4 linked regions of the Tamandua tetradactyla genome follow. The protein of the gene in region 3 interacts with the protein of the main gene of each other region in a pairwise test. Links are inferred from orthologs where the notes say so. Each region holds a gene or a part of one and is shown on either strand. Other genes may lie near its edges. The genes, in order: SERPINI2, ATXN2, BAG6 and DNAJB11.

Region 1 (7,280 bases), about 23 Mb from region 3:
AGAGTGATTGGTGGAAGAAAGGTTTCCAGAAGCGGCTGCCTATTCCATCTACATTCAAATCCAAATTGAGTCTGGCATAGTGATTTTTATGCATAGTGATTTTCCTCCTTATTGAATGAGAGTCACATGTGGAAAAGAGGCAGACACACACAGATACAATCACACAACCATATATAGAGAAAAGAAATGTGGTACATGTTAACAAATGGGGAAAAAATGGGAGGGGAATGGTAATTCTTTGCACTGTACTTGCAAATTTTTGGTAAATTTGAAAGTATTTCAAAGTAAATTATTTTTTAAAAACAAGCATTGCTTTGGGACAAAGGATTTAAGCAGCGACTGGATAACTCAGTGAGATTGCATAGAATTCCTGCACTGGGAAAGAAATTTGATTGGACAGACCATCATTTCAAATTCAGAGCCTGTGATTTCTAAATCATATAAATCTGAGCTATATTCCAAGAAATTTAAAGGAATATTAAGTTGTCAAAGAGATGTAAGAGGGGCACCAAATGCTTTGTGAAGAGTCTTTTTTCCATCCATGTGTCCATCCGTCCATCCTGCACATGCAAGGGACCATGTTAGATAAGAGAGATACGAATATGAGTAGGATATACTCTCCTGCCTTCAGCCTTCTAGATTGAAGGCACATAGACTGCACTTTATTAAACAAAGATTGAATTGCCCCATTAGATTTTATAATTTGGAAATCTTTCACTGGACACATTTTACTTTTTACCCCTGAAGATAACTTCATTTGAAGTGATTATTCTGAAACTGGTTTATAGACAGAGCTTCTCTTTATAACCTTAGAGAAGTAATGGATAAAGGGCAATGTGTGGGTGGAACTTATTCATTTATATGAAAAGCACCTGTCAAGTACCTACTATGTGTGCAAGGTACTATGCTGTGTATAACTCTAACTTCATGTCTTAATGTCGACCTCTTTTGTGAAAGGTATACAGGTGTATTTAATGGGAATAGAACTCTTAAAGATATGAAAAATTTTTAAATGTTACTGCTTCTAATAGTTTGGAACAAAATCACATTAAAAGGGAAAAATTAAAAGAAATTTAGCTCTTATGTATTCTTCTTCTTTTGTTACTTACAATATCTAATTGTTTTAGGCAGGTAGCAGGATCTCACCCATGAACTGTTAATAGAACGAAAGCCATCATAAGCTGTTTCTGAAGTTAACATTTAGATTCAGTTATTTAGGATCCATTTTTCCACAGTGAAAGGAACTTGTCACATTAAAATAGTGTGTGCCATAATTTTCAATAGGCTATCTTTTTTGCAATATGTAGATTTACATGAAATATAATTTAGTTTGTTCTCTTTCAGAACATTTTCATCTAATCACTTACAATGTATAGAGTAAGCTGACAGAGAAAAATTGCCTGAAATTCACCATGCTCAAATAGAAGAAATAGCTTCTAAGTCTTTTATTAATTAGAGTATTTGCTTATATGTCTTTAAAGTTTGGAATTAAATACATTTTTTCTTAAAAATAAAACTACAAAATGCTAAGAAAGGTGATGAAACTCTAACTGTAATATCTTACTATTATGTTTGTACATATTCCCTGGTTTCTTTTTAACATTGGAATAGTAATGGTGCTCAAGAAATTTATATCAGGACATTTTGGCTCCCACTAATGAGTAATTTTTTTACTGATGCTCTAGGGGCATAGAGTTGTAGGAGGAGCAGAGTTGTGAAAACACATAAAATGTGTGCAGTAATATTTTATGGTTTTTTCATATCTTTATTGTCTATTAAAATAGAGGAAGAATTCTGGTCGTTGCTTTTTATTCCCCAAGAGAAATGACAATGGACATTCAGCTGAACTGCTCAAACATACAGTTCTTACAGAATAACCTCATTAAATGTTTTAATAAGACAGTGAATGTTTCTGTCATTGGTTGGAAAAGTAATGGCCTTTTTTAGGTCTATCATAGTATGATCTGAGTAATGTACAGTCATAATACTATGATGGCTGTGTCCAGTGTCACTTCTTGGGCATAACGGTATTGACTCATGATCATCTTGGATAGTCCAACTTATTATTCATGTGTTGAAGAGTAGAGCTGGAATGATGACGGTGTTCTTGTGTTTCACAACTCTTTTTGGAATATAGTCTCTTGTGGTATTAAGTTAAAGCTAGAATAGAGTTTTTCCAGTGCTACAGTAGCTGTAACAGAATAGACCAAGATTTAGGAAAGATTTTGAGATGCCCAGATGGGTAATCAGAATTTTTTCTTTTTATGTTTCATGGAATGTTTAACAGGACAATGTGAGCTCTGTGCATCAATCTAAATCTGTCATAACAGCAGCCCGATTTTATGACACTTTCAATAAACTTCAAATATACTCCAAGCAACCAAACATAAAGTTTTTAGTTTTATGAACCCTCTGGTGAAATATCTATACAATCATGGATCAAGTCAGTGAAGAATCTGTACTCCTGTTTGCCAGCACCAACATTGGCCTTTGCAGTGCCCCTAACTTTCTTCACTCTTCTTGCATTCCTTCCACTGTTTTATTGAGATCTTTTTCTCCTCATAAGGCCGTATCTTGCAAGTCTGTGTTTGGGTTCATTTTTCTTTGCATAATCCAAGGAATCATAAATCATGCCAAAGCCAGTCATCTTGCCACCACCAAAAGAGGTTCTGGATCCAAATACAAAGATGATGTTTGATGTGGTCATGTATATTTTGACTGGTTTTTCCCAAACAGTCTTAGGTACTGTTGCCTTTCCAGGGTGAAGGACAGCGATGGCCATTTGTTTTTGCTGAAGTAGTGGCTTGATCATGAGCTTCCTGGTCTGCATAGATACCGTGTCATTCATGATGACTGGTGATCCCGGTAATTAGAATTTTAGTAAACTAAGAGATGATGGCTATAATAATCACCAGACTTCTCAGGCCTGTACTGAGAGAGGTTAACAGGATCCTTGAAAAAGTTTCTTCAATGAATACTCTTTAAAGCCATTTTATGCTTATGGTGGTTTGAAGCTGGATACACCCCAGAAAAACATGTTCTTCAAGCTAATCCATTTCTGTGGGTATGAACCCATTGTAAGTAGGACATTTTGATGAGGCTGCTTAAGTTCACCTCATTCAGGATGGGTCCTAATCCTACTATTGGAGACCTTTATAAATGGAATGAATTCAGGAAAAGAAGGAGAACAAAAACCACTGAAGGTAAAAATGGAGATAAATGAAACCTGGTATTTAAGAGAGAGACCAGCAAACACGCCATGTGCCTTGCCATGTGGCAGAGTTGCTGAGGATCCCCAGCAGCCAGTCTTTGGGAAAAAAACATTACCTTGATTTGGACATTTCCATGGCTTCAAAACTGTAAGCAAATAAATTCTGATTGTTTAAGCCAGCCCATTTAATGATATTTGCTTAGAGCAGCCTAGGAAACTAAAACGATGCTCGTTTTATTTTTTCCTCATGACTTTATTGGAAATAATATTATACTTGACAAGCAAGTGACAATCATACTTGCTTAATTACTAGACCAAATATTCTGCTTCTCTTCTCAGAGGCCATTGATAAATAATACAATGTGTTTTAATGCCTAATTATCATTGAAATGACTGATTTGAAATAGAAGAATGAAATCAAGACCCATTCAATTATGCATCCATTTTTTATTAATAACTTATTTGGAGAGAAAATCGTGTAGAATTTTAAAAGCATATAAAGGCAACACTGATGTTTATTATTAAATTACCTATGTTTAATAATTTTATACTGATATAATTAGTTAAATCAATAATCGTAATCTGGTCTCTTAATCTGGCTCAACATAAAGAACATATTTCATCAATATCCACTCTTCTTCCTAAGGATTCAACTGGGCCTTGTATCTGCAGGAAATTCCTCTGACTATTGCATAATTTGATGGATTGTTGAGAATTCTGTAAGCACAGCAGTAATTTGTCTCTGCATTCTGGACTTGATTTAGCCTTATTCTTTTTCTCATAGGCATTCTAAAATATTTATGATGGAGTATGTTGGTAATGTGATGTGAAAGTCTTGTGAGAAACAAACAAAAAAAACTAATTACCAGCAATATTACAAACATAGGCACATTCTTTCAAATTCTGCTTCTGTTTGTAAAAGAGGTGAAATAATGGATAGAATAATAGTATAAACTTGATGATTTAAAGGGATGCTATTATTGTTTTTCTCTTCCTGCGTATTTCAAAATTACTCATTAACTTGATCATGCTAGTCTTTGTATACAAATGTAGTGAACACCTGCTCTGGTCTTAGAGGAATTAATCAAGCAACATTCAAGATAATAGAGTTGGCCTTGACTGATCAGGTGCCAGTGTTCTCCAGCAAGCACATTTTAGTTGTAACATTACAGTGAATCATCAGAAGCCAATTTTGGGTAAGTACTTTAATTTAAATATCTTCTGAGTGAAGTATATATGCAATAACGTTGACTGTGGAGGTTTAATAGAGTAGAGGTTGCTATTATAAATTCGAAGGTCGGATTCTCATGGGGTTATTAATTGGATTGTTTAGTGTACCAGCATTTTGTGCTTTTTGCTGACATATGATCCAAAACCCAGTAGGATAAGTGAAATTTAAAATATATATATATACTTTTTTTTAAAGCTGTCCACATAAGTTATATTAGGAAATGCACTAGCCAAAATATAACTTTTGTACCAAATAAACATTTTTTGCTTTAGTCTCACACATAAGTTAAAGTTTTAAAATATTAATTTCCATCCATTTTCAACACCCTGCAGTATTGACATACTTTTGTTCTTCCTCATGCAAAACCATTTTGAAGTTTGTACATTTAGTCACTATCGTTATACACTCTAGGCATTCCTAGATTATACCATCTCAGTCTTTATTGTATATCTTTCCTTCTGATTTCATTTGTGCCCCCAGGCCCCCTCCCCTATCATTCTCACTTTCAGCTTCATTCAGTGTTCTAACATTATTGTGCTACAGTCAGGTAGTATTGTGCTATCCATTTCTGAATTTTTGTAAATCAGTCCCATTGTGTAATCTGTATCCCTTCAACTCCAATTACCAAATATCTACCTGATTTCTATCTCCTGATGACTTCTGGTCTTAACTGAAATTCTCCAGGTTCATTCATTAATGTTAGTTCATATCAGTGAGACCATACAGTATTTGTCCTTTTGTTTCTGGCTAATCTCACTCAGCATAATGTCCTTAAGGTCCATCCATGCTGTTACATACTTCGTAACTTTATTCTGTCTTACAGCTGCATAATATTCCATCATATGTATATACCACAGCTTGTTTAACCACTCGTCTGTTGATGGACATTTTGGCGGTTTCATCTACATATACTTTTTGAGTTGTAATTTATAAGTGCCTAGAATTTTTTGGCAGAAACGGATGCTTAAAGAATGTAAATTTTAATTAGTAAGATCGTTAATAGTAAGGGGAAGATAACTCTAATGCCCAGAGTCTACCTAAGGGTAAAATGATATCCTTCATAATATTGCTTATCATTCTAAAATAAACCATGTTCTTAAAGATACACCAAATGAATTGCTGCATCATGATTTAAAAGTTCTAATAACATTTTGGCTAATTATGTATCTACACACTTGGGTCAGAAATATCCTGAGAAATTCAGTATATCAGAACAGTGATGCAAAGAAATTTATTTCGCATGCACAACTTCTCTGACCCACTCACTGGCTTTAATTGTTGAGACAAAGCCAGTCACAGCCTCCTGTCCAATTAATTCCTCAATAAAACATTTGCTTGCTTATATATATATATTTGCAGTTTGTCAACACATGTTCCTCTAAAAATTGCTTGGAATTGGATTTTGAAATTTTCTTCCATTGCAAAATGTATATCTAAGCAAATAGAATTTGATTACATATATTAGAAAAATTTTGATGTATCTAGATAATGACACCACAGCTTAGTTTGGGAGACTACTAATATTTACTAAAAATGCATACTTTGTATGTAATTTAGTGCTTCTCAATGAACCTTAACCCATTCATGGATTATGACAGCTCTCCTAATAGTCTGCAAAATGATATAGAAATGCAGTTCTTTATTTCTTTAAGGCTAGCAACACAATATTATGGAGGATTTCACCCTACCTTCTAGTAACCTGCTAAATGAATTATTTAGGTCACTAAAACATATTATTTGTAAACTAAAATTAGTGTTATGAAATTTATGAGGCCTTTGCAGCCAGTATTCTATTAACAGGTTTGTGGTAATATTGTAAAACTTATTCTACTCTGGATATAATCCAGATAGTTGATTTTCCTGAAATTTTAATGGAGAACACTTTAATAGGATGTCATTAGTGTTGTTTTGAATTGGTTATGATTTTCAATTGCTGCTTTTCTTGTATTTGTTCATTTATTTTTCAATGTATTGTTCGATTTTTAATTGCATTGCTCTTTTGTTATTACTGTACCATTTATATTTGGCTGTCATTTTCTTTCCTTACAATTTTCTCAGAGTTTTGTGCATTTTTTCCTCCCTTTGGAAAAGTAGGATATGGGGAGAAGTGGGATTCCGGAAAGTGTGAGGATCACGGCTGCAAGAGGTTAGGCGAGTTATTCAAATGGTTTAGAATACATTAGCTTCCTAATATTGTAGATTTAAAACCAAAATGGAATATGTTCATTTTTATTTAATTTCTCTTCTTGAGCCTTAAACCATTTTAGAGTAGTCTGGATCAAAGTTTCCCTTGGTATCAGAATTAAAGGTATCCCATTTAAAACCATAGGAAAAGATAAGAGAAAGTATCATATAGCTATTCAGAGACTGTATGGCTATTGAAAACATTCTAGAAGTATAATTTATCCTTTGATTTTGCTTAAGAAACTTCAAATATATTTCAGACTTGTTCTTGAAAGAACATAAAAATTACCATTAGCATGACCTATTTCTCCTAAAAAATGATGCATTGTTAGAAACAGGCATAGTATAGATTTTTTTGGAAGTTAGTTCTAATAAAACAGAAAGTTCTAATAAGGTAGAAAAGTTTCTGTTGAACTTAATGTAGTAAACTCTGATTATTTAAAAATCCAATAAACTTTGAATTATACATTTTACAGAAGTCAAAATGGATAAAATCTTATTGTGGAGTCTCTTACTGATTTTTCCTGGAAGTCAAGCCTCAAGACCCTCGGCTCAAAGAAATGCTGAATTCGCAGTGGATCTTTATCAAGCTGTTTGTTTATCTCACGAAAACAACATTATATTTTCACCCCTTGGAATGACTTTAATTCTTGG
Region 2 (7,756 bases), about 75 Mb from region 3:
AAAAAAGATGAACACAATATATATATAATCACTATAACTGTAGAAATGTTGACAAGAACTGAACACTAAAAGACAAAAATAAAAATTGGATTAAGGTAAAATTATGTTCAAAATTTAAGCTGTAGTTATACTGTTATTTCCTAAGACAAAATGCCACCTTCTGAAATGTATATGACAATTAAAGACAGAATAAATCATTTTGAAAGCCATGAAAATTCAATTTTCACAAAAAACTCAAATGATAAAATATTATATACTATTTAAAGCAAAAGTATTATTTCTAGATTTTCAAGAGTATTTTGCTATCTCTGAACATGTCAAACCCAATGCTGCGCTTTTTTTCTTCACCCTTGATCCAGAAACTTATTTTACTGCTGATACATTCAAGCATAAGTGAGGTTAGAAACTGTAACTGATCTACAAAGGGCCCAATAAACGTAATTCAAAATTGAAAGCAATTCTACAAGTACATGAATCTATACAAGAACAAAATTTTACATTATATGACTAATACATTAAACAAAACTTCAAATATTTAACAAAAAGAGTAAGATCTACCATTTACGCATCAGGTGAAATAATTTAAAGCAAGACAATCTAAATGAACCTTAAATTTCTGTGAAGCCCTAAGGAATAGAAAAAAGACCTACAGTACTAAAACATTCCAAGTATCTTTGATCAATCAAGCTACCTCGGAACAAATTATTTGTCATAATGTGATTTTTATACCTAAAGAGAACCAATGCAACTTCTTCAAAGCCTTAGTTTAAATTTTTTAATTATTTGAGCAAGTGAAATATATCTGCCAGATTTCAACCTGACACCTAAAAGGAAAACAATTCTTTCTGTAAAAATTATATTTATAATTTTCATTTTTCTTTATTAATGCCACTGCAAAAAGGAAACTAAAGTTACAAAATCCTAAGTGTACAGAGCTGGGGAAATGATCCCTTCATTTGAACTAGTTGGCTAGGTTTGTGGGTGCTTTAGAGAAGGGGAAACTATGGGAGTAGGAGTGGGTAGCAGTCCAGAAGCGTCTTTACATCAACCTCTTTGAAGTGAGAAGAATTTCTTAAAAACCAGCTGATTCATCTTGATGGGTAAGTTTTTTTGCTGGTTAATGAAAATGCTTTGTAACTGGATTGCTGAAAATGTGTTTTCACAAAGAAAACTCAGTGCATGAAAAATTCCCTTATTCCACCTTCAAAAGACCACGACATCTATTTAAGGAGAATGCTGGTCACTGGCCCTGCCAATCCGGCCTAAATGAGGCATGGCAGCGCCTTCAACACGGATGGACTCAGGGCACAGGGGAAACGGACTTGCGTGCCCTTGGTAAGCGCTGGCGACACTCCCCAAGTTAAGGACACAGGCCACAATGGAACGGAGTGTTACTGACACTTGCACCCTGTTTGAACGCTAAGCATTTTCTCAGTTAGTGAATTACGAACTGACACACGACCCTGACTCCCAAAGAGGCTTTGGCGCACAGGCACACACACTCTAGAGTTAGACCCGGCTGGCGGAAATAACAGAGCCCCCAGCCTTCAGCACAAACCTGGGTTATGAGGGTTGGAGCGGGAGAGGGGAGGCGCAAGGAAACACCCACGTTTCTGCCTTCAGGAATCCCACCCTGTCCCCCGCTGCAATCCCTCTCCCCAAACACACGCAAAAAAAAAAAACACCTCGGAAATCAGGGTAGGGGGTATCAAGAAAGCTCAGCGGGCTCCCCCCGCCCACCCCCCACCTCCCCAGTTCCGCCTGGGCTTCGGGCGCACGCCTGGGCCCGACCCTCACCCACCAGTGTGCAAAAGCGCTTTAGCCGCCGCCTCGGAACGGCAATGCGGATCGGCCACCACCCGAGCGGGAGAGGCCATGCGGGAGGAGGGAAAGAAGGGGGAGGCCGGGAGGGGCCCAAGCACTCCCACCCTTCCCCAGGTGGGGGAGAGCGGGCCGCTGCGGGAGGCTGCACAGGGCAAGACCATTCTAGGGCTTCTGGACACCCCGCCGCGGCCTTAAGGCTTAAAACTGGAAGGGGCGGGGGGCTGCTGCCCACCCACCTCACCCCCGTCCTTCCATCATTCACTGAGTAGAAAGGGGGCACAGGTGAAGAGACGTGACAGACCCCAACGATTCCAGAAGCGTCCTGTGGCTGCCCCTTTAACAGGAAGGCAGGGGACGCGGTCCAATCCCCCCCCCCCCCGCCTCGATATTCCTCCATGGGGGAGGAGACGTGTTTCGGGAGACTGAAACAAAATCTAAAGACCACTCCAACCACATTTAAACCGGGAGTGGGGACGCTGCCCGCAGCATCCCCCTCACCCCCACTGGGGACCGGGAGGGCTTAAAGAAGGTGCAACGGGGGCTGACAATTGCTGGGACCTGTGAGCATTTCAATGGGAAGGGGACGCTGCCCGGTCCTTCCATCTTGACCGTTTAGGGAGGAGAGTGAGGATGGTGCAGGAGGATGGACGCGGCCTGACAATCCAGAGGGGCCCCACGGCGCCCCCCACCCGAGCCTGCAGGGTCTAAAGCGGAGCTCCCGCCCCCGCTGCGGGCCCCTAGCCCACCCCGCTAGGCCAGGCCGGTCCCGGGGAGGGGATGGCGGTGCGGACCGCGGGGGAGGGGACGCGAGGCCCGACCTCGTCCAGGCCCCAAGCGGAGGGGGCTGGGACGCCGACACCCACCTGCCCAGGCCCGGCCGCCCGCCGCCAGTGCCCGCCGCCGCCGAGGAGGAGGAAGCCGCGGCCGAGAGCGAGGGCGACGAGGCTGAGGACGGCGGTGGCGCGGCGGCGGGCGACGTGAGAAGGCCGCCGCCGGGCTTGCGGGCATTGGCTGCCGCGGTCTGCTGCTGCTGCTGTTGCTGTTGCTGTTGCTGCTGCTGCTGCTGCTGCTGCTGTTGCTGCTGGGGCTTCAGCGACATGGTGAGCGGCCCATACACCGGCCCGCACGCCAGGCGGGTACAGCAGGGAGCCGGGCGCGCCGAGGAGACGCCGGAGCGCGGCGGGGACGCGCGGGCGCCGAGCGGAGAGGCGCGGGTTGGCACGGCCGGGGGGGAACCCAGGCCCGCGAGGGGGAGGAGGACGACGACGAAGGGGCGGGGAAGCCGGCCGGGACCCAGGAGCCGCCGGGAGCTGGGCCGGGACACGCCGCAGCCGTTGCCGTTGCTACCAAAACAGTCTGAGGCGGAGGGAAGCGAGCGCTGCCCGGAGGGAGGGGGGCCGGGGCCGGGCGGGGGAGGGGCGGCGGAGGGATACGGGCCTAGAGCCGTGCCGCCACCGCCCCTTCCGCCCCATCGCGGGAGCGAGCGCCGCCGGGTCCATCTGGCAGCCGCGAATCGGCGAGGCTCAAGGACCACCGCAGGGCCCCGAGGAGCTGCGGCCGCCGAGCTCATCGGGAGACGAACACACCCAAGCGCTGCTGGCCGTGCCAGCGGCCGATGCGGGATGGGGACTCTTTACCGGAAGTCGGCAGGGTCAGACGGAAGTAGGGAGTGAGGGAGCTCCGAGTCCGGGAGGGACACGTGAGGAGCGGGTGCCGGTCTGGGCCGCGTTCGCGGGGGTCGGTGAGGGCCCGGCTGCCGGCCCTGCCTGGATCCGCCCTCCTCTAGGCGGGGTTGCCCTTTGGCGAGGGCGTGTCGGTCTTCTCCGGCCGGATCAACCTAGCGTAAAGGACTAGGAGGAAGCGTTTTTTCTCCCTCGCCCCCCAAGGTGCCTTTTCGGTCCTCAAGCTTGGAGAAGAATGCCTGTTTGACCCCACCTGACGCAACGTATAAAATGAACTGCGAGCGCCTTCCGAGGGTAGAGTGTCTTGCTCCGTATAAAGCACGCAGAATAGTCACTGGCGCGATGAACACGAGCATTCAACAGTTATCTTTGTATCCTCGGCGCCTGGCACACAGTAGGCCCTCGGGTGTCACTGAGTGTCTCAAAGAAGAGCCCTGTTCTGTTTCGCTGCCAAGACTAACGAATGGACTTGAGATTGAGCAACATGCCGAGGCTACCCAAATCTGGTTACCTTTACCCCACTTTTTCTACAACAGCAAAAAAGTAACCAAGAAAACTCTTTTGCGTATCTGACCTTCATTTGAACCCATTTTCCCCTCACTTGAACTTCTTTTACCTCCTTCATGAGGCTCAAGAGGAAATGTACGTGATTTGGTACAGCTATGAAAAAATGGGGTCTCCTGTCGGCGGAGACAGAACAGTCTTCACAAGAATGTGCGAACTTTAGACCTTGGCCCCTTTAGAAGTTTTACTTTAACTTAAGAGAGCCAGCCAGCACAGTAGTCCGTTTTTAAAATGTGTTGCAATTAAACTGGAAGCAAGTAGATAACTACTTTTTTTTTTTTTTGAGTGAAGCATCTAGTGTTTTGTTGTATTTTTTAGTGAGTTTAAGGAAATGATAGGGCAATCAACATCAAAATTCCCTTCAATCTCGAATTGTCCAGATAAACGTAAAGACCTAGAAGAACTTGAAGAATAATTAAGCCAGATGTATCCAGTAGCCAGAATGAACTGACATTAATCTCCTACATAGCCTAGGCAAAACTGATCATTGTATATTGCAAACACTTGAAAAGCAGGCAATCAGCAATCAGGTGTATTTCCCATCTAAGGTAAAAAGATTGAGAAAAAATGTAGTATTCCTTTAGAGTTAAAAAATCCTTTAAAAATTAGCCCAGAAGAAACAGGGCTAAAAAACCAGATGAAGAAGGAAAAAATAAAATAACTATAATCAAAATACAATGGACTTTCTCTGATTTAATGACTTAAGAGCTTTATCTGGGACCAAGGTCCCAGAATGTAGTGTTAGGACCAAACTCCAAGCATATGGGGGAAAAAAGGGAAGTAGAGTAAGAAGGCATAAAGCTGACATAGCTGAACTTGGTTTCATGTAGGCTGAGAAATGTAGGCTAGTTCTCATCCACTATAATTGAACTTTTTCCTACCATAAGAGTCATCCATTTGAAGTATTCGATGATTTTTAGTCAATTTACAGAGTTGTACAACTATCCCCACTAATTTCAGAGCATTTCCACTACCCCAGAAAGATCCCTCATGCCCATTTGTAGTTACTAGCAGTTTCCACCCACACCTCTGGCAACCACTCCTCTACTTTCTGTCTCTATGGATTTGCCTGTTCCAGACATTTCATATAAATGGAATCTTAATGTATGTGGTTGTTTGTGTCTGTTTCTTTCACTTAGCAGAATGTTTTTGAAGTTTATCATGTTGTAGCATATATCAGTTTTTAGCTCCTTTTTATTACTAAGTAGTATTCCACTGCGTAGACCAATGGGATTTGTACATCATTAATTCACCAGTTAGTGGACACTTGGATTGTTTTCAACTTTTGCCTATTATGAATAATGCTGCTATGAACATTTGTGTACAGGTCTTTGTGTAGACATATGTTTCATTTCTCTTGGGTAGATACCTAGGAGTGAAATTGCTGAGTCATAAGGTAAATTTATAATTAACTTTTTTTTTTGAAGTTGAGAATTGTTAACAGCAAAGAAATATATTTAAGTTTTTAAGGTATTGTCAAACTCTTTTCCAGGTGGGCTGCACCATTTTATGTTTGCACCAGCAATGTATAGGGTTTAGCATTAAAATTTGATCTTTACTTTTATATTAAATTGGAGACCAAGAAAACCTCTCTTGTCAACTCTTTTTTTTTCCTCCCCATTTCACTTTCTTGAGGGAGTCTCCTCACCTAAAACCAAGGAATATCCCTTCTTGCAAATCCTTCACCTGAATTCCAGACCTCCAAGAACATGGTTATTTTATAGCAACCATGATGTCAGAGGGCTTTAGCTTTATATGAAAATGTCAGGGTATAGTAGGCAGTCTCTAAAACAGCCCCGGTGATCCCTTCCTCCTGGTATTCAGATTCTGACATATCCCCTCCACTTGAGTATTGGCTGGGCCTAGTGACTTGATTCTAACAAACAGTTAGAAAAAGTAATGGGTTTTCACTTCCAAGATTATAGTACAGAAAGACTCTGGCTTCTGCCTTGGGCTCTGGGGTGGCTTGGAATTATGTATCCCCAAAAAGCATATTCGTAATCCTATCCATTCCTGTGGATGTGAACCTACTGTAAATAGGACATTTTGAAGATACTATTTTTAATAAAGGTGTGGCCATATGAATTAGAATGGGTCTTTATGCTATCCATGGAGGTCTTATAGAGAAGGGGGAGCAGCCAGAAGCTGAAAGTCAATGAAACTGGAAGAGAAAGGCGATAACCCCGCCACGTGCATTGTCATGTGATGGGAAAGCCAAGGAACCCCAGCCAGAAGATACCGACCTGGGAGGAAGCAAGCCTCTAGCCTTTGAAGCCCAGCTAACTGAAGCCAACCATTGTTGCATATTTGTTTTAGCAGCCAGGAAACTAAAACAAGCTGCCCTCTCTCCCTCACTTGCTCTGAAGAAAGCCAGCTGCTATTCTGTTAACTGCCCTACAGAGAGGTCCATATGACAAGGAACTGCCATCTCCAACCAACAAGTGAGGACCCAATGGCTGTCATAGGCCGCATGAGTGAGCATAGAAGCTCAATCAAGCCTTGATATGAATATAGCCTAGCAGACACTTTATTGAAACTTTTATTGTATCTAGCTCAGGTTAGGTACCCTGAGTTAGAGCTACGCATTTAAGCTGTCCCCAGATTCCTAACCTATCTGTTTTAAGTTGCTAAAGTTGGGGACAATTTGTTAACACAGCAATAGATAACTAATACAGATGACCAAAAAAAAGGTACATGTCCAATGATTTCCATAGACTCGGAATTCTTTAAAGACAGATGCTGAAATTAGGGACTAATAATATATCCAGTGAAAGTTAAAATTTTGAATGGTCCTTCATCTCCCACAGACATTTTTCTGATAGTCATTAAAACAAAACCAACAAGTGTCTTTGGAGAGTTGTCATCAAAGGCAACGAAGAATATTGCCCTGAAACAGTCTAAGATTGAGAAGTGTTGGAAAAATTTAAGCTTCAAAAATATTTCAACCAATATTTCAGAAATTCAAAAAGTCTCAAGACAGAAAACATCCAGAGAAAGACTTTCAGATTTGGGAATCTAGTCCTGTGGTTTCTGTCCTTGCTTTCTGATTTCCAGTGACTCCTCAAGCCACATGATCCTTTATTAGCCTGTTAATTTTCATTACTTCAGTGATTAATCAAGTCTGGGAATTTGGGGATGAAAAACTGATAGAACCATGCAAAGCACAGAAATGTGTGGAGTGATTTGTTATCTCTCATATAATAGCACACAGCAGAGGACCCCATATTTCCAGCAATTCATTTTTCTGTAATCATTTCTGTCAGCTGTCTTCATTTGAGCCTGTTTAATGTATGATGATACATTATTCACTCAATACTCTTGATTTTGATTTCCACAGCATGAAAGTTAATTCAAATCAAAACTAACATGCATCCCCCCCCACCAAAATCCATCCTCTTCAAATTCTTGCATAGACAGATACTCAGTTTTAAAAAAAAAAAGCAGATGTAATTTCAAAAATAGGACCGTGGCTAATTAAACCATTGCTTTTTCTCCTGACTGTGGTTACTCAGAATTCTTAGAGGCAAATCTATTTGTAGACCCTCTAGGGATGCCAAAACACTAAAACAATATTAAAAAAAAAAAAAAAAAGAAAGGAAAGATGGGTGTTGGGGGAGATGCTGCTTGGAGGCATTATTTATACACTTTGTATGAAAAGTAACTGCTTTCCCACAGGTGTGGAAAAA
Region 3 (7,286 bases):
CCTTTGTTTATGCCCTCAGGTGACATTACATGAGCCCTCCTTCATCCAGCATCCCCAGACTTACTCAGTCCTAGTCTTCTGCAGTAGGAATTTAACCCCTCACCTTGATTCTTGGGAGTCAGTAAGAAGGCCTTGGAGTCCAGGCAGGAGGTCAGGAACTGGAATTCCTCCACACACTTCTCAGGAGGATGTGGTGAGCGATCTGGAAGGGCAGGGCCAGGACAGTCAAAGGCCCTGCTTCTCAGCATCACCCTGGTGAGTACCTCATGGGCACGTCACCCCTTCCTGGGGTGATGTTAAGGGATTCAGAGTAAGGGCTCTCTTGCCTTCCTGTTTCCCTCTGACCTTTCCTGCCTTGCATCCCCACTCACTGTAGAAGAGGAAACGCTGGTAACCCTGGCCCATCTCTTTCAACATGATTCCTCCTGGGCACGAGCTGGAGAAGAGCTTCGTTTTCATGTCAGGGCGGCCTGTCAGGGTGAGTGGGGGGGCAGGGGATGAGGACAGAGATGCATAAGCAAGGCCAGAGGACATGGAGAGGGTGAGGGCTGAAGGAACCAACCTTCAGTTCTAAGATCGGTGCTCCCGTCAGTCAGGTAATAGATCCACTTCCGGGGCACACAGAGCCCGTTTTTCCTACAGAGGTGGTGGTGGCATGAAGGACAGACTTAGAGACACTCCAACCACATAGTCCCAGCCTCCCTTTACTCCTCCTTGAAGGAAACTTGGATCCCTGTGGATTTCAAGCTACCAAAGAATGGTTAGATCTAGCTTTCTCTTTCCAAAGGGAAATAAGTACTACTGAGCCAAGAATAGTGGAGGTACCAGCCAAGAGCCCAGCTCTTGGTGGATGAGTGCTTACTCTTTGGGCAGAGACCACACCCACTGACACCTCTACCTCCTCGTCACTCACGTGCGGATAGTAGCACGAAGCTGGAGGTGTCTTGGGGCAGAGTCAGTAGTCATATTGAAGACAATGTTGTCCACAGGGTCAAAAGTCGCCAATTCCTCCCTGGTGGGAGCTGCCCCTGCGATAAAGTACCACCGACCTAGGTGGGGCTCTGGAAACTGAAGAGACAATTTGAAAAGCAAATTGTCAGTCAGGATAGGCATTGGCTGCTTTCCTCTTTGCAAATGGGGGTCAGATCCATGACAGCAAGTCATCAATGACTTGGGTAGCCACCATCCCACCCCACCCCCACTCCAATTCTGCCATGTCTCCACAGTTATGGCTTCAGAACTAAAATCTTTCTCCCTGCTTTTGTCATCACAACACTCACAGCATCTTCTTCCCCTCCTTTCCCCATGTGGCTTCTGGTCATCCTAAGCCACCCACCCAAATTCCCCAGGGCCTCCACCATAGGCTTCACGTGTTCTCTTCCATACCTCTTTCCCATCCACTCCCAGAGTTGTCAGTTGACTGTGCTCAGGGCAGTAGTACATGGAATCAAGGAGAATGCCATAGAGGTAGAGCAGAGCTGCCCAAATTCGGTGGAACATCTTCAGGCAAGAGGGAGCTGGTGCCCTGTGTGGGGTGGCTGGTCCCTGTACTGCTCTCTCCCCTGCTGGCTGCTCAGTCCACTCTGTTTCCAGCCCCCTTGCCTTGATCCTTGACCCTTTCACCTGCTAATGAGTAACTTCAACCTTGTTTTCCAACCCAAACCAGGATTAGTGTTCGGACCTTCCTCCCATCTCTATATGCAGCCATTCTAGAGTACACCCTAATATGTCTGGGGTTTCTCAGGAGTTATGAGAACTGAACCCAAGTAAAAGCCCTTTGGTCTGTCAACCCATAGCTGAGCTGTATCTGCTGTGTTGTGCAGCATTGGAGAGTCTTTCATTCATTCACTTAGCAAACTCTTTTGAGTCCCAGCTGTTTGTTAGAAACTGGCTAAGCTCCAGGGACTTCAAGATAAGGCACAATCCTGGGCCTCAAGAAATCTGCCTTGGGAAAACTGACTATATAAACAAATCATTACAATACAACCTAAGTGCTGTAGAACAGGTATGATCCAGACAGTGAAACATACTGGGTGATAGGCTTTCTTTCTATAGGAGCTTGTTTATAATTGAGGAAACAGTGCACATACATTCTGGAAAAGTTTGCTGGCATGTAAGTGAATGCATTTGTTCAATGTTTATTGCCAAGTAAGAGGCTGTATCATCTAGTGTTAAGATCTTTGGTATAAGGCAAATCTGGGTTCAAACCCAACTCTGCTTATTAGGTGTTGGGCAGTTTTATTAATCTCTATGCTTGTTTCTTTATCTGTATAATGGGTAAATCGTCCATCTCATAGGATTAAATGAAATAATGCACATAAAGCCCTTAGTAGAAGGCTGCACATAAATTCAAAGTAAAAATTCATTGTAATTAATGTTTGCACTTATTAGTTTCTGATGGGTACTAAGTTCTTAATAGGAGGTAAGAAGAACTGTGTAGAAGCAGTAATTGGATAATCCCAAGGGAACAGAACAGTTAATGCAGTGAAAGGGGGCTTTCTTAATAGATTATTCATAATTCATGACTGTCCCCCCAAATTTGTCCTGAGAGGTGAAACTTACTATAAGCTTGCAAAATTTAGTTTAAAAACAAAACAAAAAATAATCTGGATGATTGATGTATATAAGGGTTCATACTACTACTACTACTACTTTAGGGTGTGTATGAAATATTTTATAACAAAAAATAAAAATACATTAATTTATTGGGGCAGCAAAGTAGAAGTACTTGACCCAGAGTCTGGCAAGCCTAGATTTGATCATCAGTTCTTTCTGCCAATTAATGTTCGTCTAAGTGAACTCACCTATAAACCCGACTATCTCAGATGAAAAAAGCTTAACTATGACAACAGTACGTAAAACCCTTAGTATGCTGGCTGGCATAAAATAAATGCTCACTAAACAGATGTTTATTAAAGTCTTAACTGAAACAGTACTGGAACGTGGGTATATAAAAACTTCAAATCCTGGGAAGGTTGGTCAGCGCAGGTTGGCACCCGGACAAAGACAGGCCTGGCTGGAGGGGTCGCAACGGCGTAGGGGCAAAGACCTTGTTCGGTGGGGAGTGTACAGGGACGATAATCCCAGCCCTGTCCCGGGCCTGCCGAAGTCCCTTGACAGCCTCAATTTAGGGCCAGAGTCTCGTTTTTAGGGCCAGTCTGACTTCACTTGCTCCCAATTCCCAAATTCGGAGGCATTCCTTTTCTTGACACATCCTGAAAGAACCCACAGCTTTTGAAAAACATGGCATGTCCCCTCGGTCGTGCACTGCCAGAACATGGCGCTGGCACCCCACGAACGCCCGCCGGTCAGCGTCGAAGTCTCTCCAAACGACGCAACCGGACGCAGGGGGACAGGCGGCCCACAAGCTGCCCCCAACCGCCCGCAGAAAGGGTGACTTTCGAAGATGCAGAAAGAAGAAAGAGCGCGACTAGGGCGACAGTGAGAGGAAAGCAAAGTTTTAGGTGGCTAGAGCAGTGCCGCCTCAAATTCTCCGCCTGTCAGAACTTTGACATAGATTAATGAGGCATAATCCTGAGTCCCCAAACTACAAGATTCATACAACTGTTCAAAGTATCTCTTGAGGCAGTCATGGACTCCCGTCTGGTAATTTATTTTCAGGCATTTATAGTGGCCACCTGAACTTTATAGCGCTCACGCGCGCACAGGAAACACGAACCGCGCTACCGGGGGTGGGGAGGCGCTTCAAGTGTGTACGCACGCGTATGTAACGCACGCAGGCGCAGTACGGTCCCCCAGGCGACGGCGGCGGCGGCTCCTCGGGGTGGTCGGCTCCCTCCCATCTAGGCCGGCCCCGGTCCGTCTCGCCCCCAGGAATTCACTGTTTGGGGCTCTGGAATTTCTCGTCGAGCCCCACAAAAGGAAAGCTTGGGGGTCTTGCGGAGCCAGAAGTGCCGCCTCGCGAGCCCCTAATACTGTCGGGGAAACGGAAGTGGCCGTCGGTGGCAGGTTGGGGGAGACCGGAAGTGACGGTACCGTGGGGGAAGTAGGGGGCGGGGTTGCGAGGTGGTGTGCGTGCGTCTGTGTGTGTCTGTGTGTGTGTGTACGTACACACGTGCGTGTGGTTGGTTGTGTGTTGGTTGCGCCGCTCTGTTGGAGCACCAAAGGCAGGCGGAAGAGGGCAAACAGCTAGCCGTTCCGTCCCTCTTGAATGTCCGCGGTCTTCGGTCCGTCGTGACTTACGCGGGTTCGATGGGCGTGGCGCGCGTGCGCGAAGCCACTCTTTCCGCAGCGTCTGGACCGAACCCTGCTCGCGTTATCCCAGGGTTTGCCGACCTCTGGGGCCCTTTTTCTATTGCGACCGGTGATGACACTTCTGGTCTCGTGCCTCCTTCCTTCCCTGCTTCCTAACCTGACTGGCCCTCTTTTATGGTGATTGGCATCGTGGAGCTCCTCCCACCCCCGTCTTATAGTTCCCTAGGCCGTCGCTCTCTTGCCCTTTGTGTTTCTCTCCTTGTGTCCCACAATTAGAAGGGGGATGGGGGAGCTTATGAGTGCATGTACTTTTGTCGGAGAAACTTTTTAGGTATTGGGACGGGGGCTCAGGCCAGGGAGGCTTTCGGGAATATAAAATCTGGTCCGGGCGACAGCGGGCCTCCTTCCCTCTCTTCCCCCCATTCTTCCCTAGATAGCTGTCGGCCATGGAGCGCAGTGATAGTACCAGTGCCGCTATGGAGGAACCTGACAGCCTGGAGGTGTTGGTGAAGACCCTAGACTCTCAGACTCGGACCTTTATTGTGGGGGCCCAGGTGAGATCCTAACACTTGTGGAAGACATTGATTACTTCTTCATTTTGTAGGCTCTTAGCCTGAGGGAAGAGTCTGATTTTCTTGTCCTCAGGTTTTTTTTGTTGTTGATTTCTTTGTTCATATTCTGGAACAGAACGTTTTTTATTGTTTTTTGATGTTTCTGTTCCTGAGACAGATTTTGTTTTGTCTTTCTCTTCATCTGTAGATCTCAGTACAGAGGGAAATAGAAAGGAAGGAGGACTCTGTAGGCCATTGCAGCTGGCCCTCAGTGCAAAGGGGAAACAAAACATGCAGACCCAAAGCACAAGTGTGTTTTGAAAAAAAAAACTGTCAGGCCTAAACTCTATTTTTAAGACTGGAAATTAGAGCCCATTATGTGGATAGTGCTTTAATAAGCAGTTGAGTAGGAATTATGACTGTTTGTGGCATAATTTAATCTCAAGTTTAATGCTATGGACACAGCTGTACTTTACTCTTGTAATATTTGGAGACAAAAATCTTGAATGAGTTGGTGTGTTTTTTTTTAAACCTGATATTACATGCAGTGTTTAAGAAAGCCATTTAGACTTTCTGATGCAATGTGTGTAAACACCCTGGTACTTCCCAAGTTGTTTAGGAAAAGTGTTTTCCTTTTTACTCCATTTCTAACCTCCTCTTTGGTTGAGTTTTCCCCTCTTAACCTGATCCCCCCTACCCCCATCTTCCTTGTCATTGGTTTTATCTTTGAGATTATGAAATAGTCTGTGGTTAATCATTTTTGTTTGCGGAGGGGTTACTGGTATCTCTAGACACACATTCCCTTGGGAGCCAGAGAAGTGGAAGGAATGCAAGTTGGCTTTTCTATTTCTCAGCCATGTAATTCTCATCTGGGCTTATAACCTGAGTTTAACTGACTTTATTGTCTGTTTTGGCAGGTATGTTTTCAGCTTAGGGTTTCACAATCGAAATAAATGGGTAGTGATTTTTATGATGGTTTTTACCTCTCACTCTAAGGCAGCTGTTTCTCTTGTGTTCTTCCTACATTCCCTGATTCCTATCCTTGTCTCTTCTCCTTGCAGATGAATGTAAAAGAGTTTAAGGAGCACATTGCTGCCTCTGTCAGCATCCCCTCTGAGAAACAACGGCTCATTTACCAGGGTCGAGTTTTGCAGGATGATAAAAAGCTCCAAGAATACAGTAAGAGTATGGGAGGGGCCAGTCAGAGGTTAAAGCTGCTGTGTGGCGGGATGGGCTGAGTCTGTGGGTTTACCTAATCATACGATGTCTTGGTGTGATTTTTCTTTCCTGTAGATGTTGGGGGAAAGGTTATCCACTTGGTGGAACGGGCTCCTCCTCAGACTCAGCTCCCTTCTTCTGGAGCATCTTCTGGAACAGGGTCTCCTTCAGCCACCCATGGTGGGGGTCCCCCACCTGGTACTCGAGTTCCTGGGGCCTCTGTTCATGACCGGAACGCCAACAGCTATGTCATGGTTGGAACCTTCAATCTTCCTGTAAGCTTGTGTTCCACATGGGAGGTTTTTTTTGTAGGGAACGGTAGATGCGGTTGTGGTAGCAGCAGGGCACTCCTGAGACAGGTGTCTCAGGTTTTAGTGTGAATTTGGAAAGCCCTGTGGTCTGACATTGGGTTTGATCTTTGAGAGACAAAAAAGGATGGAACTCCAGAGAATGATTTGGAGGTATGCGGGCCTTAGTCTTTGGCTTCTCCCAGAGCAACTTCCCTTACCCTTTCCTCAGAGTGACGGCTCTGCTGTGGATGTTCACATCAACATGGAACAGGCCCCAATTCAGGTATCACAGGGCCTGGGAGGGTCAGGGAAGGGGATCTGGGAGAAGGAGGCCTTGAGGTGGGGTTGGGTCTGGCTGAGGAGATAGCTGGGTCCTGCTATAGTAGGTGCTGGAACACATGGGTACATCTCAAACCTGCCCTGATCATCTCTCCTCTCTTCATAGAGCGAGCCCCGGGTCCGGCTAGTGATGGCTCAGCACATGATAAGAGATATACAGACCTTACTCTCCCGCATGGAGGTGAGTGGGTAAGGCCAACCAGCCCCAGGACTGGGGTCATGAGTGGTCACATCCACAGGATTCTTCTCTGCAATCTTCATTCTTTGGGGTAGAAAAAATATCCTTGTGAGACTATCTCATCCCTCCCAGTCCTCTTGGTGCCTGTATTTAAGAAGTTTGTTTCAGACTTGTCAGATAACTCTCATGGCATCTCCTTTCAATTAAAAATTTTAAAGGATTCAGTTGTTTTTTGTTTAATTTCTTAGTTAACATATTTAGCATTGAGATATCCTAACCTCATTAGTTTGTGTTGTAGGCTGCAACCTGTTGTCTTCTCTGTCTGCTCGTAAAGGTTAGGAAACCACAGTCTCTACTTTTTGTCAGTAATTTATTTGTAGATGTTACAGGTATTTATTATGTACCTAATTTATTTAAGTCTCATACTATGTATTGTACTAGTTCCTAGGAAGTCAAAGATACAAACACAAAGCTCTGCCTTCCTGAAGGTAGAGC
Region 4 (7,685 bases), on a different chromosome or scaffold from region 3:
GCCGATGCCTGTCCCTCACCCAGCGATCACGGCCCCGATGAGGTACAGCAGCAACAGGCAGAAGGTGCCCAGGTTCTGCGGGGCCATAGTTCTTCCGTCCCGGCCCGGGTCTCACGCACTCCTCGCCGTCTCCCCCGTGGCCACTTCCGCTAGCCAGTCCGCACGGCCCTGTGAGGCCACCTCACGCCGGGGGTCTCCTCCTCGGTCCGCAGCCACAGCTAGCTTGCCCACTCCTTCGCTGGTCGACTTCCCGGGAGTCCCAAATCCCAGTGAAAGAAGCCCCCAGCGGACGAGAGCCAATCGCTGCTAGGGACATCACACGCGGCCGGCGCCGCGGAGCCAATCAGAGCAGTACACTTCACCTCCGAGGCGGCGCGACCTCCAGTTAAGCAGCCCCAGCTCTCGGCCAATTAGAAAAGAAGACGTCAGAGTGTCGCGCCGCCGCAGGAAGCCGTGCAGCCCCGCCTGTCGCAGAAAACTACGTAAAGAGAGGGGGGAGGTGGGTGCCACAGGAGGACACCGGAGGCACAAGAAGGTCCTCCCGCCCGGCCCCTTGGACTCTCCACCAATCACGGGGCGCTTCCTCCAGCACCGACCAATTGCAGGAGGAAGGCTTTTTCTAGGTCACATGTCTCGGAATTTCATTCATTTTGAGCGTCCTTCCGGACGCCAGTACGCAAGGATGACGGCAAAATGGGCGGGACAGTTATTCCAGGCTCAATGTACATCGGTTCCACTGCTTAAGAGATTTTATTTTAAATAATCCAAACAATCTCCTGAGAAAATTTTACAGAGAAAAAGCCATGGTGCCTAAGGTGAGCATCTTTGATGTAGGTAGATAGACTTAGGTTCGGATTCGGCTTCCACCACTTCTTAACCGTAAGACGAGCCTAAGGTACTTGATGAACAAAATTGGGGCAAAACACTACTGGAAGTGTTGTGAGTTTTTAATGTTAGGAAATCTGTAAATTGTCTAGCACAGCATCAGGCGTATAGTAAGCACGCAATGAATAATAACTTATTGCAGTTATGAATGGAACTATTTGATTCGTCCCAATCTTCACCTACTTTTGATCATTTCAGTAAACGCACCACCTCGTTGTTGAGGACAAAATTCTTGGTGCCTTTCTTGATTCTTTTCCTGCATCACTTGTCCAATTCTTTACCTCTTAACTGTGTCCTGAATCTCTGGTGCACTGCTCTACATATCCACTACCTCTCTGGGCTAAGTCAATATCATCTCTCCCTGACAGGGACTCCTAACTGACGTCCCTGCCTTTACTGTTAATATCCTACCATCCATTTTCAGCCTCTGCGCTCCCCACTCCCCAACGACAAAAATAAATAATAAATAAATAATTAAGATTATGTGGCTTCTCTGCTTAAAAGCTCCAAATGGCTTTTCATTACACGTAGAACAAAATTCCAACTCTTCCTACCCTACCTTATGAAACCTTACATGACCTGTACTCTCACCTAGGATACTGCCAACAAAACTAGCTTCTTTTCTCTTTTTTGAACACACCAAGCTCATTCCTGCCTTAGGGTCCTTGTACTAGCTGTTCCCTCTACCTGAGACACTCTTCCCTCAGATCCTAACATGGATAACTCCTTTCTTATATCAGTTTAAATGTCACTTCAGAGAGGACTTCCCTGTCCATCCAATCAAAATTAGCACATACCAAATCCCTTATTCTCACAACACCCTATTTTGTTTCCATCCCTGACCCTCACATCCCCACACTTATATGTCAGTTCCACAGGATCATGAATCTGGTCTGTTATATTCACTCTTATACCCCTAGTATCTTAGAACAGAATAGGCACACAACTATTTTTTTGGTAAATGGATGACTAGTTGCTTTGATTGTGACCTCCATATGGCTGCTTCTTTAGGCTTTAGCTCAAATGTCGGCCCTATTAAATGGCCTTCTTAGTCTCCCGCCTCCCAGTTTTCATAGCACTTTTTACATTTGAAATTATTCTATTTCCTCAATATGTATTGTGTATTCTTCCTATTAAAATACACACTTCAAGAAGGATGTGCACTGGTGGCTCAGTGGCAGAATTCTCACCTGCTGTACCGGAGACGCGGGTTCGATCCCCAGAGCCTGCCTGTGCCAAAAAAAAATGGAAAATATACACTCCAAGAAAGCAGGGATCCTCTCTGTTTTGTTCATTGCTGTAACCCTTGTGCCTTGCATTGTGTCAGGCACACAGTGGTGCTCGATGAATAATTATTGCTGTTGGCAGAAAACTAAGACATAGATAAGTGACAAAATTTGCCAAAGGTCAATGAGCTAGTAAATGGTGCAGCCTGAATCCTCAACCAGGTCTGTCTGAATCGAAGTCCCTGTTTTTTGCATCTACACATATGTGGGACTAAGAGGAAGACATGGTTTACTACTTTTAGGAAGATGTCTCTTAGGGAGAGAAGCCACGTAAATGAGGAAGTAAACTACACTTTTTGTCTTATATCCCTTTGTATCCCCCACACCAAGAGAGGCCATAAAGGAACAAAGAAAAGCAGGAAAAGGCCACAAATCATAAATAAGAGGTGATATCTTCTGCTGGGTGGAATAAAAAAAAATCTTCACGAAGACGGTAACACGGCAGGAAAACTAACAGAGTTAAGGAGATAACGCAAGGGGCTTTCATCTCCGACTGCCTGGGTTTAAATGTTGGCTCTTCTCTAATTGTGTGCCCTTAGGGGTGTGTTACTTAAATCTCTCTACAATCCCAGTTTCTTCATCAGTATAACAAATGTTTTTAATTTGATGGACTCTTGGGAAGACTGAAAAAAAATGCACGTATAAGTGCTTTACACAGTGCCCAGCCCATAATAAGCGCTCTATAAATCTAAACTGCCATAATCATTATTACTTATCAAAGCGTGCTGACCTTACCAGCCGCTACTGACAGACCCACGGTTCTGTAGAGCATTAGAAAACTTATTCTCTGGGTGGAAAGACGCGCCACTAGAGAGCAGCCGGGTCTGGCTCCTCATCGAGGACTCCAGGCCTCCCAATTGGTCTCCGTCACTGAAGAGGCGGCGCTCTAGCAACGCCGCCTGCTGCTTCTCGGTGATACAAGCCCCCGCGCATGCGCATTGGGTGTCGAGGCGCGCTGGGAACCCGGGTGTAGGGGCTTTGCGCTCGCAGGTAACAGCGCGCGGCGGTCGGTGGCTGGTGGGCTGGGAGAGGGATGAATGGGTCAAGTTTTAGGCTGGGATTGAGAAGGGTGTATTCGCGCTTCCCAGACGCGAAGCCAGGGTGCGCTTCGGACCCTGTCAGCTGGGGCGTCTCTGTTTCCATAGCTCGGGCTTCCCGTATCAGGGCTCTGGCACGTCCCCGCCGCCTTTTCCCGGCTGTGTTCTAGGCGGCGGCCCGGCCGTTGTCCACACGCCGGCCTCCCCGCCGGAGAAACCTTAACGCCAGCGTCTCCCTGAGGAGTTTTAGGAGAGGTAAAGGCCCCAGGATATGTTTGTTTGTGAATTTCGACTTCCGGAATTTGGAGACCTTGGAAAGGACGTCCTTAGGATATGGCTTTTGACTGCGAGTTTAGACCTCCGGAGTTGCAGAATTAGAAGAGACCTTAGAGAGTATACATCCGTAGGATTTGGCTTTTGATTGCACACTTCAGAGCAGCCTATTTACGTTTTGGGAAGAACTAAGATTTTCCTCCTGTAACCATCCTCTAGTTGTATTCAGAACGATATTAAGCCTTGCCCATTTAGGGAAGACTTGTTTACTCTCCACGCGCCTTTTTGGCTCAGAATCCCAAACTCCTTCACCTGGCCCTTATTTGGTCTCATGTCTAAGGCTCTTTATTATAGTCGGCGTCCCGTTTATTAAAGGTTCATCCAAATTGAATTCCCAAAGTACATCTGTAACAACACGATTCTCAAGTCAGAGAAACATTTAATTGTAATCTAGGGCCGTGCGAACTAATTATGCAGTTTTGGTCAAGTCTTTTAACTTCTCTAAACCTCATTTCCCTCATCTGTAAATGAGATGGAGGTGTTGTGAGGATGAAAACATGAAGTACGCAAAATGTTTAGCATGCTGCCTGGCATATAGTAAGCACTGGATTAGTGTCAGTTTTTAAAAACAGCTTTATTGAGATATAATTCATCTACAGTTCGTCAATTTAAAGGGCACAATTCAAGGGTTTTAAGTATATTCACAGATTTGTGCAACCATTGGCACAGTGAATTTTAGAACGTTTTCATTACATTAAAAGAAACCTCTTCGTCTTTAGTTTTCACATCATGTTTTCCATTATGAGAAAATTCCCCCCCAGGCCTAAGCAACCACCAACCTACTTACTGTTACATAGGTTTCCCTGTTCTGGACATTTCATACAATATGTGTTTTTTGGTGAATGGCTTGTTTTATTTAGCATAATGTATATTTAAGGTTCATCTTGTAACATTCATCACTACTTCATTACTTTTTATGGCTGAATAATATACTGTTGTATGGATATACCACATTTTGTTTATCTATTCATCAGTTGATGGGCTTTTGGGTTGTTTCCATCTTTTGGTGATTGTGAATAATGCTGCTATAAACATTTGTACGTAAGTTTTTGCATGGACAATCAATTATTTTTTTGAACAATTTCCAAAAGATGCATAGTTATAAGGAAAGGCTTTTTTTTTTAAAGATGATGTTACTTAATGGTGAGGAGTATTCAATGAAGAGAGTACTGTGGTCAAGTGATGGTACAATTTGGTAAAATTTTGGAAAGCAATAGAAATATATGTCAGGAGCTTCAAAAATGTCAGTATTACTTCATCTGTCAGATACACATCTGATAATTTTCCTTGGGAAATCATTTATAATGCAGAAGCAGCTATGCAGAAAGATGGTAAACAGCATTATTTATAATTTTGAAAACACTTAAACTTATTAAGGACATTTTTAGTATACACAAAAGTAGAGTATACCCATCACCCAGCGTCAAAAGTGATCAATATTTTGTCTATCTTGTTTTTGTGAAAAATTTTTATACCTGTTAAATGTCTAAAATTAGGTGACTGGTTGAGTAATAGCAAGGAATACACTTTTGCATACTCTTCCTTTAATCGCCAATGAAAGTAACAATACAAGCAAGACAATTTTGTTGTATTGCAAAAATCTTCTTGCCCAAGTAGATTTTAATGAAATCCAATAAAAACTTTATTCTACTTCTGGTTGATGAAATAGTGCTACTTTTCAAACTGGTGTAGTACATTTAAAAACAGTTAAGGGAGGTGTCACCTTCTAAGACATTTATAAATGAGTTTTGTTGTTTCAGATCAGTTTGTGAAGAAACTTTGTTTCCTAGGTATGCAAAGAAGACTTTTTACACAATTGTCCTTAGAGATAGCATGGATCAGTCTGGAGTTCTCCTTTGGGTGAAAGCAGAACCATTTATGGTGGGCGCCTTACAGGTGCCTCCTCCATCCAAGTTCAGCCTTCACTATCTCAGGAAGATATCCAGCTATGTGCGAACCCGGGCCACATGCAGTGCTTTCCCACGGCTCTACTGGTCTACATGGAGGCACATTGCGTGTGGGAAACTGCAGTTGGCTAAGGATCTGGCATGGCTTTACTTTGAAGTATTTGATAGTCTTGTGGAAAGGACACCCGAAGAGCGTCTGGAATGGTCTGAGGTTATGTCCAATTGCATATCTGAGGATGAAGTCGAAAAGCAAAGAAATCAGGTATGGATTTTTGTGTGTGTGAAATTGTTAGGGAAATGAATAATTTCTTTCTTTATCTGTGATCTTTGTACCAGCTGGATAGTTTATTTTAGGCTAATGACCATTGTGATCCCAAAGGTCTATTTGAGTTTTGGCAGTTCTGGTTTGTCAGTATTTAATATATTTAATGAATTGTTTCTTACTCACCCATCCTTATTTTATCCTAAAGCAATAATGTTATGTGAATCCTATAACTGAAAGAGGAGAATAGTTCCATTGATTTAAAAAATATTTTGGTGTGTGTGACTGCTTATGAACCACTGATATGTTAGTCAGGGTGCACATTTTTTTTCACATTTCTTTTTTTTTAATTAATTAAAAAATTTTTAAAAAATATAACAACAAACACAAACATTCTTAACATATGATCATTCCGTTCTACATGTATAATCAGTAATGCACAGTATCATCTCCTAGTTGCATATTCATCATCATAATCATTTCTTAAAACATTTGCATCAATTCAGAAAAAGAAATAAAAAGACAACAGAAAAAATTCATACATACCATACCCCTTACCCCCCCTTTCATTGATCACTAGCATTTCATTCTACTCAATTTATTTTAACATTTGTTCCCCCTATTATTTATTTTTATGCTGTATGTTTTACTCATTTGTTGATAAGGTGGATAAAAGCATCAGACACAAGGTTTTCACAATCACACAGTCACATTGTGAAAGCTATATCATTATACAATCATCTTCAGGAAACATAACTACTGGAACACAGCTCTACATCTTCAGGCAGTTCCCTCCAGCCCCTCCATTACATCTTGACTAACAAGGTGATATCTATGTAATGCGTAAGAATAAGCTCCGGGACAACCTCTTGACTCTTTGGAATCTCCCAGCCATTGACACTTTATTTTGTCTCATTTCATTCTTCCCCCTTTTGGTCGAGAAGGTTTTCTCAATCCCTTGATGCTGAGTCCCAGCTCATTCTAGGATTTCTGTCCCACGTTGCCAGGAAGGTCCACACCCCTGCGAGTCATGTCCTGTGTAGATGGGGTGAGGGCGGTGAGTTTGCTTGTTGTGTTGGCTGGAGAGAGAGGCCACATCTGAGCAAAAACAGGGGTTCTCTTGGGGGTGACTCTTAGTCCTAATTTTAAGTAGGCTTAGTCTGTCTTTTGTGGGGTTAAGTTTCATATGAACAAACCCCAAAATTGAGGACTCAGCCTATTGCTTTGGTTGTCCCCACTGCTTGTGAGAATATCAAGAATTCTCTACTTGGGGAAGTTGAATTTTCCTCCTTTCTCACCATTCTCCCAAGGGGACTTTGCAAATACTTTTTTACTCACTGTTCAGATCACTCTGGGATTTATTGGGGTATCACTCTGGACAAACCTAGAAAATCTTATGCCCTACTCAAGGCTCCCTGTACTTATGGTGTTCAATTAAGCTGTTCACATAAGTTATATTAGGAAATGCACTAGTCAAAATATAAATTTTGTACCAAATAAACATTTTTTTGCTTTAGTCTCACACATAAGTTAAAATTTTAAAATATTAATTACCATCTATTTTCAACACCCTGCAGTAATGACATTCCTTTGTTTTTCCTCATGCAAAAACATTTTTAAATGTGTATATTTAGTCACTATCATTATATACTGTAGGCATTCCTAGATTACACCATCTTGGTCTTTATTGTCTATCTTTCTTTCTGATTTCATTTGTGCCCCCAGCCCTCCTCCCTCTATTAATCTCACATTCAGCTTCATTCAGTGTTCTAACATAATTATATTACAGTTAGGTAGTATTGGGGTGCACATTTTTTAAATGAACATTTGTTATATACTGGGATTCAAAGATGATTAAGCATCTCTTTCTTCACAGAGGAGGCTAATGTGTAAAAATATGCTATTTGGTGTGATATGTGCAAGAATAAAAATATATATAAAATACAAAAAGTAAAGAAAAGAAGGAAATGATTGA

Evidence for each region.
Region 1: the proteins of BAG6 (region 3) and SERPINI2 interact in a two-hybrid assay, tested with the Homo sapiens proteins (2 studies listed by BioGRID and IntAct). The two-hybrid records come from large-scale screens. The link is inferred for Tamandua tetradactyla from reciprocal best matches to the Homo sapiens genes BAG6 and SERPINI2.
Region 2: the proteins of BAG6 (region 3) and ATXN2 interact in binary tests that used the Homo sapiens proteins (3 or more experiments, as listed by UniProt). The link is inferred for Tamandua tetradactyla from reciprocal best matches to the Homo sapiens genes BAG6 and ATXN2.
Region 4: the proteins of BAG6 (region 3) and DNAJB11 interact in a two-hybrid assay, tested with the Homo sapiens proteins (2 studies listed by BioGRID and IntAct). The link is inferred for Tamandua tetradactyla from reciprocal best matches to the Homo sapiens genes BAG6 and DNAJB11.

Annotation. Positions count from the first base shown.
Region 1 is NC_135331.1:64,577,420-64,584,699, reverse strand, and holds the start of SERPINI2 (serpin I2), read left to right. Parts: upstream 1-4,272; 5' UTR 4,273-4,407; intron 4,408-7,102; 5' UTR 7,103-7,110; coding exon 7,111-7,280.
Region 2 is NC_135331.1:12,234,234-12,241,989, forward strand, and holds the start of ATXN2 (ataxin-2), read right to left. Parts: upstream 3,007-7,756; 5' UTR 2,924-3,006; coding exon 2,688-2,923; intron 1-2,687. UniProt on the Homo sapiens protein: Involved in EGFR trafficking, acting as negative regulator of endocytic EGFR internalization at the plasma membrane.
Region 3 is NC_135331.1:87,239,981-87,247,266, reverse strand, and holds the start of BAG6 (large proline-rich protein BAG6), read left to right. Parts: upstream 1-4,280; 5' UTR 4,281-4,389; coding exon 4,390-4,392; intron 4,393-4,415; exon of another isoform or gene 4,416-4,546; intron 4,547-4,648; exon of another isoform or gene 4,649-4,652; coding exon 4,653-4,769; intron 4,770-5,827; coding exon 5,828-5,945; intron 5,946-6,059; coding exon 6,060-6,259; intron 6,260-6,503; coding exon 6,504-6,557; intron 6,558-6,719; coding exon 6,720-6,794; intron 6,795-7,286. Other genes in the region: APOM (apolipoprotein M), read right to left, coding at 42-202, 372-470, 563-636, 914-1,068, 1,387-1,500. UniProt on the Homo sapiens protein: ATP-independent molecular chaperone preventing the aggregation of misfolded and hydrophobic patches-containing proteins.
Region 4 is NC_135336.1:5,480,659-5,488,343, reverse strand, and holds the start of DNAJB11 (dnaJ homolog subfamily B member 11), read right to left. Parts: upstream 3,013-7,685; 5' UTR 2,944-3,012; coding exon 2,907-2,943; intron 2,116-2,906; coding exon 2,076-2,115; intron 816-2,075; coding exon of another isoform or gene 804-815; exon of another isoform or gene 516-803; intron 410-515; exon of another isoform or gene 88-409; coding exon of another isoform or gene 20-87; intron 1-19. Other genes in the region: TBCCD1 (TBCC domain-containing protein 1), read left to right, coding at 5,375-5,710. UniProt on the Homo sapiens protein: As a co-chaperone for HSPA5 it is required for proper folding, trafficking or degradation of proteins.